Stegostoma tigrinum: one gene and its partner. The protein of the gene in region 1 binds, or shares a complex with, the protein of each later gene. Links are inferred from orthologs where the notes say so. Each region holds a gene or a part of one and is shown on either strand. Other genes may lie near its edges.

Region 1 (7,457 bases):
CAGGATGGTGCATAATTTAGAGAACTTGTTAGTGTGATGTTCCCAAGCATCTGTTACTTTGACCCTCTTGGTTGGCAGGGCCACATGTTTGGAAGATGCCACTGAAGATGGCTTGATGCATTGCTGCAAGAAGAAATTAAAGGATAAGCTGAAATGCAATGCGGCCATGCATACAAGACACTGGAAGATATTATATACTAAGTTGAGGGGCAACCTTATAGATGTTCATAAAATAATGACAGATATAAATAGAGTTAGTGGTAGTTGTCTTTTCTCTAGAATGGGGGACTTCAAGACTGGGGGCACATTTTTAAGATGAGAGGACGGAGAGTTAAAAAAAATGGCAATTTTTTTTACACAGAGCATGGAATTAACTTTCTATGGATGTGGGTATAATTATGTTTAAAAAACACTTAGATAAGTACATGAACAGGAAGGATTTGGAGGGATATGAGCCAGGAGCAAGCAGATGGGACAGTTCATTTTGGGATTATGTTTGGCATGGACAATTTAGACCAACGGGTCTGTTTCCATGCTGCATGACTCTATGAACCAGCCCAATGAGATCTGTTTGCAAAGCACATTTCATTTTACCACTTGCATTTCTGGAAACAAACAAATGGACAAATTAGGCATCCATAATTGGTTTTCTAGCATATGAAAGCAGTGGCAATACTAAAACACCACATACACCTGTCCCAGGAGGTTTGTGTACATAAATTGAGAAGATTCTTGTGAAGCACTCATACTCTGAGCCAGGAGGTCTAGGTTCAAGTCCCCCTGGTTTTGGAGGTTGGTAATAACATTTCTGAACTTAAATTAGAAAATATCTGGCATATAAACTACCATTAAAATTATGGGCAGTGTTAATATCTCTCTCTTAGCTATGCACAATTACTGGAGCAATGCCAGGTAGGGGCAAATCAGAGGTTAAATATGGAATCTAATTATTACTGACTGAAATGATCTACATTTAATCCCCTTACTAATTGTGTTATCGGTGTGAAGTGCACTGTACTTACAACACATACAGACTAAACTCACCAGTGATGACTTGCTCACTTGTCTAAGTACCTTGTAATCAATGTGATAAGTATAAATTACTGACAGTCAACTTCCCTGATACTGCAAATAAATTAATACAATTGCAGAATCTTATTCCTTCAGAGTTCAATTGTCAGAGATATTAAAAAAGTAAAGGTTTTACAAAATTACCTTTCTTTTGTTTATTTTGTCCTTGCATAAATTCAAGTTTTCTTTCTCACTTTATTTCCTTTCCTTACCCTAATTTTATACTAATTTCAAATTCACCTTCTTTCTCATCTTTAGGCTGTTTATTGACAATCATTCAATCTGAATTGTTTTATTCATTCCCAGGATGTGGACATTGTGGCTTGATCAGCATTTAGTTCTCACCTAATTGCCCAGAAGGCACTTAAGAGTCAACCACATTGCTGTGGGACTGAAATTATGTAGGTTAGACCAGGTAAGAATGACAGATTTCCTTCCTTAAAGTACATAAGTGAATCAGATGCAATTTTACAACATTAATGATGATTACATGGTAACCATGAGGCCAGCTCTTGATTTCAGATTTTATTGAACTCAAATTTCACATTTGACCTTGAGGGATTCAAAACCATGTAACTTGGATATTGGTTAACAAAGTGTGAAGCTGGATGAACACAGCAGGCCAAGCAGCATCTCGGGAGCACAAAAGCTGACGTTTCGGGCCTAGACCCTTCATCAGAGAGGGGGACGGGGAGAGGGTTCTGAAATAAATAGGGAGGCGGACCGAAGATGGAGAGGAAAGTATGGGTGGGGAGGTAGGGCGGGCGGACAGGTCAAGGAGGCGGGATGGGGTGAGTAGGTAGGGAAAGGCGGTGCGGCTTGAGGTGGGAGGAGGGGATAGGTGAGAGGAAGAACAGGTTAGGGAGGCGGGGACAAGCTGGGCTGGTTTTGGGATCTCCCCATCCCCCTCTCTGATGAAGGGTCTAGGCCCGAAACATCAGCTTTTGTGGTCCTAAGATGCTGCTTGGCCTGCTGTGTTCATCCAGCTCCACACTTTGTTACCTTGGATTCTCCAGCATCTGCAGTTCCCATTATCTCTGACCTGGATATTGGCTTGTCTTTTGTATTACTAGTCGTCAGTAACACTACAATTATGCAGCCTACTACGCTGATACAAGGACTGTTTGTGCTATCCATGCATATCCCAGGTCCTGTTTTCATCACTATCATTATTATCTTGAGCTTTCAGCCTAACTAATGAAAGTAAATATGAAGAGTAAATGTAAGTGATTGGCCATTGCCAGTCAAACACATTGCTGGACACTCATTTGGGGCAACTTTGAAAGGCAAGCATTGGCCGTTGAAATGTAAATTAACAGAAGGCTATGATCGCTTAGCTTTAATTTTCCAATGCAGGAAATTATTCAAAATTAAACAAACCTTCCCACCTTTAAATACAGAGGTGGTAACATTGGATCCATAAGCACGGGAATCACAGGAAAAAGTGTTAATAACAACAATCACAAAACTTTAAAAAAAGGACTTGTTTTTGGTCTTTTTTTTAGTCGCAGCTGGTTGATGACATTTAATCAGATAACGTTGTTGTTTCAGGTTTGAGTGTTTACTAGACTAAAGGCGGTTTATAAACACAAAACCTTTGGGTGGGCAGACAATTTTCATCCTGGGGCGTAGGGTGAATTTTATCAGTTTTGTTTGTGCGTTATCTATTAATTAATCGCCTTTCTGGGCAGATAACTAGATAGATAGGTTCTTGATTATCAAGGGTTACGGGGAGAAAGCACGAGAATGGGATTGAGGAGCTTATCAGCCATGGTTGAATGGCGGAGCAGGCTCGATGAGCCGAAAGGCCTAATTTTTGTTCCTATGTCTTATCATCTTTGAGTTTATATATTAATCCTGTCACAGCAATAATTACCGGGAGAGAGGAGGTGATTGCACACAAAGGGTGAAAAACGCAGATCAAGCACTAACCTTTACCAGTTGGAGGCATTTTTCCTGTCTCTTTATATATGTATAGGAATACAACCAGAGTCCTTTCGATTTAAAGTAGACAAATTAAATCACTTTTCACCTTCACACTGTAAACATTGCCTCAAAATGGCGGCCGCCAGTTTGGTTTGAATTTCGGCGCCAACAAAGACCACGTGGTACTCAGGGGTGGGGCAATACGCGTGACGTAACCCCTGGAGCTATGGGACGATGGCTGGGCGGGGAGGAGGGGAAGGGCAAATATAAAGGGCGCGATTGCTGTCCTTTGTGTCACGTGATGAAACGGTGTGTATTTGTGTTTCTCTCCCTACATGCTTGTGTTCCATTGGCTTTCAACGTCATCAAAATCTGCGTTTTGATGGAAGCGGCTGTTGTTTCCATAAACACGCACATGACCGAAAAAAAATGAGTAAAAGAAGCAACATCTCGTACGTGAAGCCGGCCGAACCCGCCTTCCTCAGGAAATTTAAGGAAGATGTGGGTTACAAGTCTGGGCCGACCGTGGAAACCAAGGTCAGTCCGACCCTTCAGTTCCTTCCCCCCCCCAAAGTCTTTGGCCAAACCTCATTCCTTGCGCTGGTCTGGCCTGTTACCCCTTAAAATAATAAAATGTGAGGCTGGATGAACACAGCAGGCCAAGCAGCATCTCAGGAGCACAAAAGCTGACGTTTCGGGCCTAGACCCTTCATCAGAGAGGGGGATGGGGGGAGGGAACTGGAATAAATAGGGAGAGAGGGGGAGGCGGACCGAAGATGGAGAGTAAAGAAGATAGGTGGAGAGAGTATAGGTGGGGAGGTAGGGAGGGGATAGGTCAGTCCAGGGAAGACGGACAGGTCAAGGAGGTGGGATGAGGTTAGTAGGTAGGAGATGGAGGTGCGGCTTGGGGTGGGAGGAAGGGATGGGTGAGAGGAAGAACAGGTTAGGGAGGCAGAGACAGGTTGGACTGGTTTTGGGATGCAGTGGGTGGGGGGGAAGAGCTGGGCTGGTTGTGTGGTGCAGTGGGGGGAGGGGACGAACTGGGCTGGTTTAGGGATGCAGTAGGGGAAGGGGAGATTTTGAAACTGGTGAAGTCCACATCGATACCATTGGGCTGCAGGGTTCCCAGGCGGAATATGAGTTGCTGTTCCTGCAACCTTCGGGTGGCATCATTGTGGCAGTGCAGGAGGCCCATGATGGACATGTCATCTAGAGAATGGGAGGGGGAGTGGAAATGATTTGCGACTGGGAGGTGCAGTTGTTTGTTGCGAACTGAGCAGAGGTGTTCTGCAAAGCGGTCCCCAAGCCTCCGCTTGGTTTCCCCAATGTAGAGGAAGCCACACCGGGTACAGTGGATGCAGTATACCACATTGGCAGATGTGCAGGTGAACCTCTGCTTAATGTGGAATGTCATCTTGGGGCCTGGGATAGGGGTGAGGGAGGAGGTGTGGGGGCAAGTGTAGCATTTCCTGCGGTTGCAGGGGAAGGTGCCGGGTGTGGTGGGGTTGGAGGGCAGTGTGGAACGAACAAGGGAGTCACGGAGAGAGTGGTCTCTCCGGAAAGCAGACAGGGGAGGGGATGGAAAAATGTCTTGGGTGGTGGGGTCGGATTGTAAATGGCGGAAGTGTCAGAGGATGATGCATTGTATCCGGTTGGTAGGGTGGTGTGTGAGAACGAGGGGGATCCTCTTCGGGTGGTTGTGGCGGGGGCGGGGTGTGAGGGATGTGTTGTGGGAAATACAGGAGACGCGGTCAAGGGCGTTCTCGATCACTGTGGGGGGAAAGTTGCGGTCCTTGAAGAACTTGGACATCTGGGATGTGCGGGAGTGGAATGTCTTATCGTGGGAGCAGATGCGGCGGAGGCGGACGAATTGGGAATAGGGGATGGAATTTTTGCAGGAGGGTGGGTGGGAGGAGGTGTATTCTAGGTAGCTGTGGGAGTCGGTGGGCTTGAAATGGACATCAGTTACAAGCTGGTTGGGCTTGAAATGGACATCAGTTACAAGCTGGTTGTTACAAGCTCCTGCCCCTTAAAATACCCGTGTTAAAGTAGGAATAGACTCCATTTTACAAGGAAATGGTAGAAGAGTAGAGGAAATCGGGTTGGCTGGAAAGTTCGGTTGAAGAGCTGTCACAGACACAATGGGCCGAGTGGTCTCTTCCTATATTGTCGTGCAGTGGTTCAAACTCATTTTTGTATCAGGATTGCCCACCTCACTAAATTCCATTATAATACAATATGAAATTGTTCGTAAAGATGTAGGCGCTCACAAGAATGGTTCCACGGATGAGGAATTTGAATTAAAATAGATTTGAGAAGTTGAGCTATTTATTTTGGGACAAGAAACTGAAACGAGATTTGACAGCGGTGTACAAAATCGCGACGGGTTTGGACTAAGTTGAATAGGGAGAGATTAAAACAGGTCACAGATTTGAAGAAATTGATAACGGAAGCAGAAGCAATGTGAGGAATAGATTTTTCTCACTGTGATTTTTAAATTCTGAAATGTGCTGTTGAGGGTGTGTGAAGCTGTTCAGTTGTGAATATGAAAAGGAACAATATTCAAAGTTAAGGAAAATGGCTGTCCAAACGAGCAATTCATTTGGTGCCAGTATTGACACAATGAGCTGAATAACCACCTTCTGTGCTGTAACAAATTTATGATTACTTTGTGTCACTTTAATACCATATCATGTACACTCCTTGGTGTGGCTGCTAGCTCTCTGTGCTGCATGAGCTATAGCTGTAGCTTTCTGCTTCTAAGCTCCCCTGCAGCCACCAGTAAAGCATTGTAAGCAATTTCAAATTTTCCCAGAGCTTTTAAAAACCACTAATGTAATCAAATAAATTCCTTTGTCAAATTATTTTTTAAAATTCTATAAACGCCCAGGGGGTCAGCTTCTGTAAGGAGGTAAAGATAAGTTTAGCTGTTCAGATTTTGGACAGAAGGTTATTGACCTGAATGATTAAACCTACTGTATCTACAAATGCTTTTTCTCGATAAACCAATAAGAAGAAAGCGCACCTGTTTTTTTTTTGGAAAGGCACAAATCGTGGAGGCAAACTGTTTCAAAATTGAAAACAGCAATGTATTCGCAGGGATTAAATTCACAAGGGAAGAAGGAAACAACAGTCAACTTCTGTTTCTGGATGTTGAAGTTGATTGTATGACCAACGGTGTGTTCCAAACCTCAATAGACAATAGGTGCAGGAGTAGGCCCTTCGAGCCAGCGCCACCATTCATTATAATCATGGCTGATCATCCACAATCAGTATCCTGTTCCTGCCTTATCCCCATAACCCTTTATTCCACTATCTTTAAGAACTCTATCCATCTTTCTTGAAAGTATCCAGAGAGTTGGCCTCCACTGCCTTCTGGGGCAGAGCATTCCATATATCCACACTCTCTGGGTGAAGAAGTTTTTCCTCAACTCTGTTCTAAATGGCCTACCACTTATTTTTAAACTGTGTCCTCTGGTTCTGGATTCACCCATCAGCGGAAACCTGCTTCCTGCCTCCACAGTGTCCAATCCCTTAATAATCTTATACGTCTCAATCAGATCCCCTCTCATCCTTCTAAACGCAAGTGTATACAAGCCCAGTTGCTCCAATCTTTAAACATATGATAGTCCTGCCATTCTGGGAATTGACCTTGTGAACCTATGCTGCACTCCCACAATGGCAAGAATGTCCTTCCTCAAATTTGGAGACCAAAACTGCATACAATACGCGAGGTGTGGTCTCACCAGGGCCCTGTACAGCTGCAGAAGCACTTCTCTGCTCCCATACTCAATTGTTATGAAGGCCAGCATGCCATTAGCTTTCTTCACTGCCTGCTGTACCTGCATGCTTGCTTTCATTGACAAGAACACCTAGATCTCGTTGTACTTCCCCTTTACCTAACTTGACGTCATTTAGGTAGTAATCTGCCTTCCTGCTCTTGCCACCAAAGTGGATAACCTCACATTTATCCACATTAAACTGCATCTGCCATGCATCCGTCCGCTCACCTAGTCTGTCCAAGTCACCCTGTATTCTCATAGCATCCTCGTCACATTTCATCCTGCCACCCAGCTTTGTGTCATCAGCAAAATTGCTAATATTACTTTTAATGCCTTCGTCTATATCATTAATATATATTGTAAACAGCTGTGGTCCCAGCACCGAACCTTGTGGTACCCCACTGGTCACCGCCTGCCATTCCAAAAAGGACCTGTTTATCACTACTGTTTGCTTCCTGCCAGCCAGCCAATTTTCAATCCAACTCAGTATTTTTCCCCCAATATCATGTGCCTTAATTTTGCTCACTAATCTCCTATGCGGGACTTTATTAAAAGCTTTCTGAAAGTCCAGGTACACTACATCCACTGGCTCTCCCTTGTCTATCTTCATAGATAGATCCTCAAAAAATTCCAGATTATTAGTCAAGCACGATTTCCCCTTTGTAAATCCATGCCGTC
Region 2 (7,734 bases), on another chromosome or scaffold:
TCACCTTCTTTAATAAAATGTGTCGCAATGGGTACCTGCATGGGTTCTAGCCCTGTCCACTATCTGGTCCCCTCCTGAACCACACCCTGCAAGCCCTGGCCCTATCCCTGATAATAAAATGTGAGGCTGGATGAACACAGCAGGCCAAGCAGCATCTCAGGAGCACAAAACCTGACGTTTCGGGCCTAGACCCTTCATCAGAGAGGGGGATGGGGTGGGGGAACTGGAATAAATAGGGAAAGAGGGGGAGGCGGACCGAAGATGGAGAGTAAAGAAGATAGGTGGGGAGGAGAGTATAGGTGGGGAGGTAGGGAGGGGATAGGTCAGTCTAGGGAAGACGGACAGGTCAAGGAGGTGGGATGAGGTTAGTAGGTAGGAGATGGAGGTGCAGCTTGGGGTGGGAGGAAGGGATGGGTGAGAGGAAGAACAGGTTAGGGAGGCAGAGACAGGTTGGACTGGTTTTGGGATGCAGTGGGTGGAGGGGAAGAGCTGGGCTGGTTGTGTGGTGCAGTGGGGAGGAGAGGACGAACTGGGCTGGTTTTGGGAAGCGGTGGGGGAAGGGGAGATTTTGAAGCTGGTGAAGTCCACATTGATACCATTGGGCTGCAGGGTTCCCAAGTGGAATATGAGTTGCTGTTCCTGCAACCTTCGGGTGGCATCATTGTGGCACTGCAGGAGGCCCATGATGGACATGTCACCTAAAGAATGGGAGGGGGAGTGGAAATGGTTTGCGACTGGGAGGTGCAGTTGTTTATTGCGAACCGAGCGGAGGTGTTCTGCAAAGTGGTCCCCAAGCCTCCGCTTGGTTTCCCCAATGTAGAGGTAGCCACACTGGGTACAGTGGATGCAGTATACCACATTGGCAGATGTGCAGGTGAACCTCTGCTTAATGTGGACAGTCATCTTGGGGCCTGGGATGGGGTGAGAGAGGAGGTGTGGGGGCAAGTGTAGCATTTCCTGCGGTTGCAGGGAAAGGTGCTGGGTGTGGTGGGGTTGGAGGGCAGTGTGGAGCGAGTGGTCTCTCGGGAAAGCAGACAGGGGTGGGGCTGGAAAAATGTCTTGGGTGGTGGGGTCCAATTGTAGATGGCGGAAGTGTCGGAGGATGATGCGTTGTATCTGGAGGTTGGTGGGGTGGTGTGTGAGAACGAGGGGGATCCTCTTTGGGCGGTTGTGGCGGGGGTGGGGCGTGAGGGATGTGTTGCGGGAAATGCGGGAGACGCGGTCAAGGGCGTTCTCAACCACTGTGGGGGGAAAGTTGCGGTCCTTCAAGAACTTGGACATCTGGGATGTGCGGGAGTGGAATGCCTCATCGTGGGAGCAGATGCGGCGGAGGCGGTGGAATTGGGAATAGAGGATAGAATTTTTGCAGGAGGGTAGGTGGGAGGAAGTGTATGCTACGTAGCTGTGGGAGTCGGTGGGCTTGAAATGGACATCAGTTACAAGCTGGTTGCCTGAGATGGAGACTGAGAGATCCAGGAAGGTGAGGGATGTGCTGGAGATGGCCCAGGGAACTGAAGGTTGGGGTGGAAGGTGTTGGCGAAGTCGATGAACTGTTCGAGCTCCTCTGGGGAGCAAGGGGCGGCGCCGATACAGTCATCAATGTAACGGAGGAAGAGGTGGGGTTTGGGGCCTGTGTAGGTGCGGAAGAGGGACTGGTCCACGTAACCTACAAAGAGGCAGGCATAGCTGGGGCCCATGCGGGTGCCCATGGCCACCCCCTTAGTCTGTAGGAAGTGGGAGGAATCGAAAGAGAAGTTGTTGAGGATGAGGACAAGTTCGGCAAGGCGGATGAGGGTGTCGGTGGAGGGGGACTGGCCGGGCCTGCGGGACAGGAAGAAGCGGAGGGCCTTGAGGCCATCTGCATGCGGAATACAGGTGTATAGGGACTGGACGTCCATGGTGAAGATGAGGTGTTGGGGGCCAGGGAATTGGAAGTCCTGGAGGAGGTGGAGGGCGTGGGTGGTGTCACGGACGTAGGTAGAGAGTTCCTGGACCAAAGGATAGAAAATGGAGTCCAGATAGGTGGAGATGAGTTCGGTAGGGCAGGAGCAGGCTGAGACGATGGGTCGACCAGGGCAGGCAGGTTTGTGGATTTTGGGAAGGAGATAGAAACGGGCCGTGCGGGGTTGGGGAACAATGAGGTTGGAGGCTGTGGGTGGGAGGTCCCCTGAGGTGATGAGGTCATGAATAGTGTGGGAGATGACGGTTTGGTGCTTGGGTGTGGGGTCATGATCGAGCGGGCGGGTCGAGGTGGTGTCGGAGAGTTGGCGTCTGGCCTCGGTGATGTATTTATTTATTCCAGAACACTCACCCCATCCCCGTCTCTGATGAAGGGTCTAGGCCCGAAACGTCAGCTTTTGTGCTCCTGAGATGCTGCTTGGCCTGCTGTGTTCATCCAGCCTCACATTTTATTTTCTTGGACTCTCCAGCATCTGCAGTTCCCATTATCCCTGGCCCTATCCCTGTCTGACTGACTGCAGGAAACGGCTGTCACGCTCCCTCACCTCCCATCCTCCCTATCGCCCCTGCCTAACCCCCGCAACCTCTGCTCTCCTTGTCCAATGCCATCCTCCGATTGTGGGGGTGATCTCAGGGACCTGCCCCATGTCGGGGTTGTGTTTGCGTCCCCCAGGTTCCGGTTGCCAGGAGACCTGCGCTGCCTCCTCACCTCGGCCTGGAGGAAGACGGACACGCCCCCGGGGCTAAGCCTGAAGGGTTCCAGGATCTGGATGCACTTGGCCAGGTGCTCCTCACCGGCGGACAGCTCCTCTGTCTCCGTGTGGTTGAGGCCGAGCTGCAGCTCGAGCACCGCCGCTTTCTGCAGCCAGTCTCCAGCCTGGAGCGGCTCATCGTCCCGCGGCCCCAACGATGCTTTCAGCTCCTTCAGCAGTTCCCGAGCCTTGTACTTGGAGCGATAAGGCTCCGACTCAGGGTCCCGCTTCGACTCTACCTCCGACAGCCTCAATGCCCGGGAGTATCTCACGCTCAGAGCCCTGTCAAGGCCGCCTTCCTGCGCCGCCATTTTACCCGTAATTACAGGGCAGCACTGCCCTCCGCCGAATGCGGAAAGCACTGCAGACTTCAAAGACAGCGCCTTCCGGCGGCCAGGAGGGGAGACTGCTGCATCTAAGCCCCAGAGCAGGAAAGCGGCTTCGCTGAGGGATTATAAAAGGGTTAGTGGTTAAATTGAAAAGCAGTACCTCGATTAGTAGCTTATTACCTGAGCCACAATCAAACTGTTAAGGGGCAGACAAAATCAGACGGATAATTGTGTTTTTTGTGTAAGGGACCACGTTTTCCTTTTTTTTGAAACTGAAATGCAAGTTGGCTTGCTATAACCTAAAATCCAGTGTTGCAGTTTTAAAAAAACGAAGTGCTGCATAGTTTGTGTCGATGGGCGCTACAGTGGTGCACTTTAATACAGTAAGAAGAATTTTGAGACTGAGGGTCACCATGTGTCTTTCAAGTACAGGCCCTTTGGCCCATGATGTTACGCCATACTTTTCCCCTAATCCTCAGGCCTATCTAACTTACACCCCTACCTTATACTATCATCCGTATGCCTATCTAATAGCCACTTAAATGCCCCTAATGAGACCAACTCCATTACCCTGTCTGACACCACATTCCACACCCCGACCACTCTGAGCAAGGACCCTACCTCTGACGTCTCCTCTGTATCTACCTCCACTCACTTTAAAACTATGCCCCCTCACAATAGCTACCTCCATCCTAGGAAAAAGACTTTGGCTGTCTATCTATACCTCTGATCATCTTGTACACCTCTATCAAGTCACCTCTTATTCTTCATCGTTCTAAAGAGAAAAGCCCTAGCTCTCTCAACCTTTCCTCGTAAGACCTTCCCTCCATTCCAGGCAACATCCTGGTAAATCTCCTCTGCACCTTTTCCAAAGCTTCCACATCATTCCTGTTACAAGGCAACCAGAAGTGGACACAATATTCCAGATGTAGCCGAGCCAGGCTTTTGTAAAGCTGGAACAGAACTTCAAGGCTCTTGAATTCAGTCCCTCTGTTAATGAAAGTTTACACACCATACACCTTAACAACTCTTATCCGCCTGGGTGGCAGCTTTCAGGGAATTGTGGATGTGTACCCCAAGTTCCCTCTGCTCCTCCACACTGCCAAGAATCGTTCTGTTAACCTTGTATTCGGCTTTGAAGTTTGTCTTTCCAAAATGAATCACCTCACACTTTTCAGGGTTAAACTCCATTTGCCACTTCTCAGCCCAGCCCTGTATCCTATCACTGCCTATTTCTAACCTCGAACAGCCCTCTGCCATATCCACAACTGGACCCACCCTTGTATCGTCCGCAAACTTACTAATCCACCCTTCCACTCCTACATCCAAATCATTTGCAAAAATCACAAATAGAAGCGGACCCAGAACAGATCCTTGTGGTCCACCAATCGTAATTGAGCACCATGTTGAATATTTTCCATCCATTACCACCCTTTGTCTTCTAAGCGTCAGCCAATTCTGAATTGAATCTACCACATTTCCCCTATCCCATGCTTTCTTACTTGCTGCTTGAGCCTACCATGGGGAACCTTATCAAACGCATTCACTGCTCTACCTTCATCCATGTGTTTGGTCACCTCTTCAAAGAATTCAATAACGTTTGAGAGGCATGGATCTACCCCTCATAAAGCTATGCTGACCATCACGAATCAAACGGTGCCTATCCAAGTGATCATGAATCCTATCTCTCAGAGCCCTTTCCAATAATTTGCCCACCACTGAAGTAGGACTAACTGGCCTGTAGTTTCTAGGATTATCCCTATTCCCTTTCTTGAATAAGGGAATGACATTTGCCACTCTAATATCTCCCAGCATTATACCCGTGGACAGTGAGGTTGAAAAAAATCATCAAAGGCCCTGCGATCTCGTCCCTCGCTTCCCACAGAATCCTTGGATAAATCCCATCAGGCCCAGGGGACTTATCTATCTTCAAGTTCCTCAAAATTCCTAGTACATCTTCCTTACTAACACTGACCTCCTCTAGCCTACCAGACTGTTTCACAGCCCTCTCCTCCAACTAGGTACCTCTCGGTTATGAATACCGAAGAAAAATATTCATTAATGAACTCTCCTATCTCTTTAGGCTCTGTGCACAAATTCCCCTTACAATCCTTGCTCGGCCCTACCCTGTCTGGTCATTCTCTTATTCATCATGTACGTGTAAAAAGCCTTGGAGTTTTCCTTGATCCTATCTGCCAAGGTTTTCTCATGTCCCCTTATAGCTCTCCTAAGCCTAATATTGGCAAATGGGACTAAATTAATTTAGGATATTTGGTCAGCATGGATAAAAGGGTCTGTTTCCATGCCTGACCTCTCTATGACTGCTCTAATAGATGTAATTTGTATGACTGAATAGCCGCTACAAAGATCTGGCTGCTAGACAGCAAAGGCTGAAACCTGAATATACAAGGATTCGCAACATTTTTTGGAAGGGCATGAAGTCAAGAAAAGGTAGATCCGTACAATTGAAAGACTTGACCTTAGTTCTAAACAGAAAGATATAAAATCATTTTTGGTAGACATATAATAGTAGAGGTCAGAAGTCACTTGTAGGAGCATTTTATATTCTTCTTAAAAATAACCATACCGTAGGATGGGAGTAAAGAAATAGTAAAGAAATAATGGGTAGTTTGAGAAAGTTAATGTCAATAACCTGGGTGGTTTTCAGCTACATATAGATGAGCCGAATTAGTGAAAATGGTAGCCTGGGAGATGAGCTCAGTACGTTTCAGAACTGTTTCTTAGAGCAGCATGAATTAGAGCTAACCAGAGAACAGGCTATACTCGATCAGATGTGCAACGGGATAGGATTAATTTATAATCACATAGGGAATGTACACTTGGGTATCAGTGATTATAATGATTTAATTCTGGTCTTGAGGGAGAGAAGAATGTATCCAAGACTGCAGTGTTTTAAACTTAAATTGGGCAGTTATAAGGGTATGAAGACAGAGCCTGGAAAAAAAGAGAGAAGTTAGAGTACAGATAAGTGGAGATGAAATTGCAGACATAACATTCAAGATAGCCATTCCAGTGAGAAAGACTCGAGAGAAATGAAACACCATCCTTAACTAATCAAAGTAGTTAAAGATTGTATCAAAATTGAAAGAAAAAAATGCAGTTCTGTGAAGAGGGGCTGTTCTAATGCAGTGTGCAGTGCCCCTACCTCTAAGCCAGGAGGCCTACGTTCAAGTCCCAACTACTTCCGAGGTGTGCAAAAACATGAAATGCATATTTGTAGAAAATATCTACAATTCAGTAAAGATCATGGTCAGAAGACTGGACAGAACATGAACAAAGAATAACTGAGAAAAGGGAGAAATTACAGTACATGATAAAACTAGTGAGAAATATCAAAATAGTCCAGACAGATATTTAAAAAGGAAAAGCATGTGTCAGCGGTGGTCCTCTGGAAATAATCAAGTTGGAAAATGACAGACAATTGAACAGTTATTTTGCTTATGACTAACATTCCAGGAATAATTGCAAATCAAAGAATGAAAGAGATGGAGTATCTTAAAAACAATTCAATCACCCAAGGAAGGAATACTAAGAAATTATTAGAATGAGAAGCTGAAAAGCCCTCAGATCCTGATGGATTTCATTCTAGAGTCTTTAGCTAATCCAAAGAGTAACAGTAGAGTTGACTACAATTATGCTTTTCTCCATTGGCATGTAAAAATTTATAACTTAGGCTTGATTTTAATCCTTGGTTTAAAATCATGAAACATTTGGAAATATTGTCTGCTGCTATTTTGTAATTTTGATTCGGTGTTTGGAGTAACTGATTACTTTTACACTATTAAGTTAGTCATGAATAATCAATCCTGCTTGGATGCACCAAAGCTATAATATCCACCACATCCAATAATATTTTTTCCTTTAACTGAGTCACAGCTATTTTACCAGTAATGTCCCAATAATGCTATCCACCGAAAGGTATAGACTTTACTCCCCCAGAATTATGGGTCACCTATTCTGCTGAGTTTGGAACTTTGGTCAGAAGACAACAAACATGGAGGGCAGGACAAAGGAGCCAAAAGGTTAAATTTTGCTGTTTTGGAGATGTTGCTTGAATGTTTTGTAATTTAAATAATAGGAGCCTCTCAGAAGTGAAGAATTCTTTGACAAACCCTTGACCTAACATTGAAAACATTCTGGTTCTTCCTCAAAGGAAATTTTAATTGTCAAGGAGCACAAAGAAGTGAACCCTATTTTCATAAAGCTGCAGCTGAAGCTTTTAAATTAAAGAGCATGTAATAGTGATGTATATGGGCCATAGATCGAGAAAAGAGGAAAACAACAGCATTCTCTTGCAGAGGAGGCAGGTTAGACAGGGCTTATATGGCAACTAGAGGCAGCAACAAAGGGTACTGAAACCACCAAGATTCACATTAGGAGGAGGAATAAGTGGTATCTCATTGGGACCAGTAAATCCAAGGATCTTTAAAAAGTAATAACTTAATAACTAATACAATTTTATAACGAGAGGGAGACCATTTGACCAAGTGCATCTATAATGCCTCTGCAAGTTCTCACCTAGCCTAGTTCTCAAACCATTCCTCATATCCTAAATTAAGGATTCTGCTGTTGTGCCTGCTTTTAGTCAGCATTCCATGCCCTAAGAACACTTCTTTACAGAAACTGAATATCTTGTTTGTTGTTTCAATAAAATGTAAATTAAAATACACACA

Evidence for each region.
Region 2: the proteins of kif15 (region 1) and kifbp are in contact, whole or in part, in a cryo-EM structure (PDB 6ZPH), measured with the Homo sapiens proteins. The link is inferred for Stegostoma tigrinum from reciprocal best matches to the Homo sapiens genes KIF15 and KIFBP. Residues at the interface, in NP_064627.1 of Homo sapiens: Leu187, Glu189, Ile191, Lys192, Lys193, Arg231, Glu232, Arg235, Arg271, Met280, Arg281, Leu282, Lys283, Glu284, Ala285, Gly286, Asn287, Asn289, Arg290, Leu292, Ser293, Gly296, Gln297, Ile299, Ala301, Val303, Asp304, Val305, Gly306, His312; in NP_056449.1 of Homo sapiens: Lys26, Tyr33, Lys36, Ile106, Glu109, Ile147, Ser150, Glu151, Glu153, Thr208, His209, Tyr212, Tyr213, Gln216, Gln219, His220, Phe224, Gln238, Glu248, Trp249, Ile251, Asn252, Thr255, Gln258, Phe259, Asn262, Tyr415, Val416, Thr417, Glu421.

Annotation. Positions count from the first base shown.
Region 1 is NC_081355.1:8,298,207-8,305,663, forward strand, and holds the start of kif15 (kinesin-like protein KIF15), read right to left. Parts: upstream 3,149-7,457; 5' UTR 3,023-3,148; coding exon 3,004-3,022; intron 1-3,003. Other genes in the region: uncharacterized protein KIAA1143 homolog, read left to right, coding at 3,427-3,534. UniProt on the Homo sapiens protein: Plus-end directed kinesin-like motor enzyme involved in mitotic spindle assembly.
Region 2 is NC_081373.1:57,846,757-57,854,490, forward strand, and holds the start of kifbp (KIF-binding protein), read right to left. Parts: upstream 3,046-7,734; 5' UTR 3,023-3,045; coding exon 2,669-3,022; intron 1-2,668. UniProt on the Homo sapiens protein: Activator of KIF1B plus-end-directed microtubule motor activity. Required for organization of axonal microtubules, and axonal outgrowth and maintenance during peripheral and central nervous system development.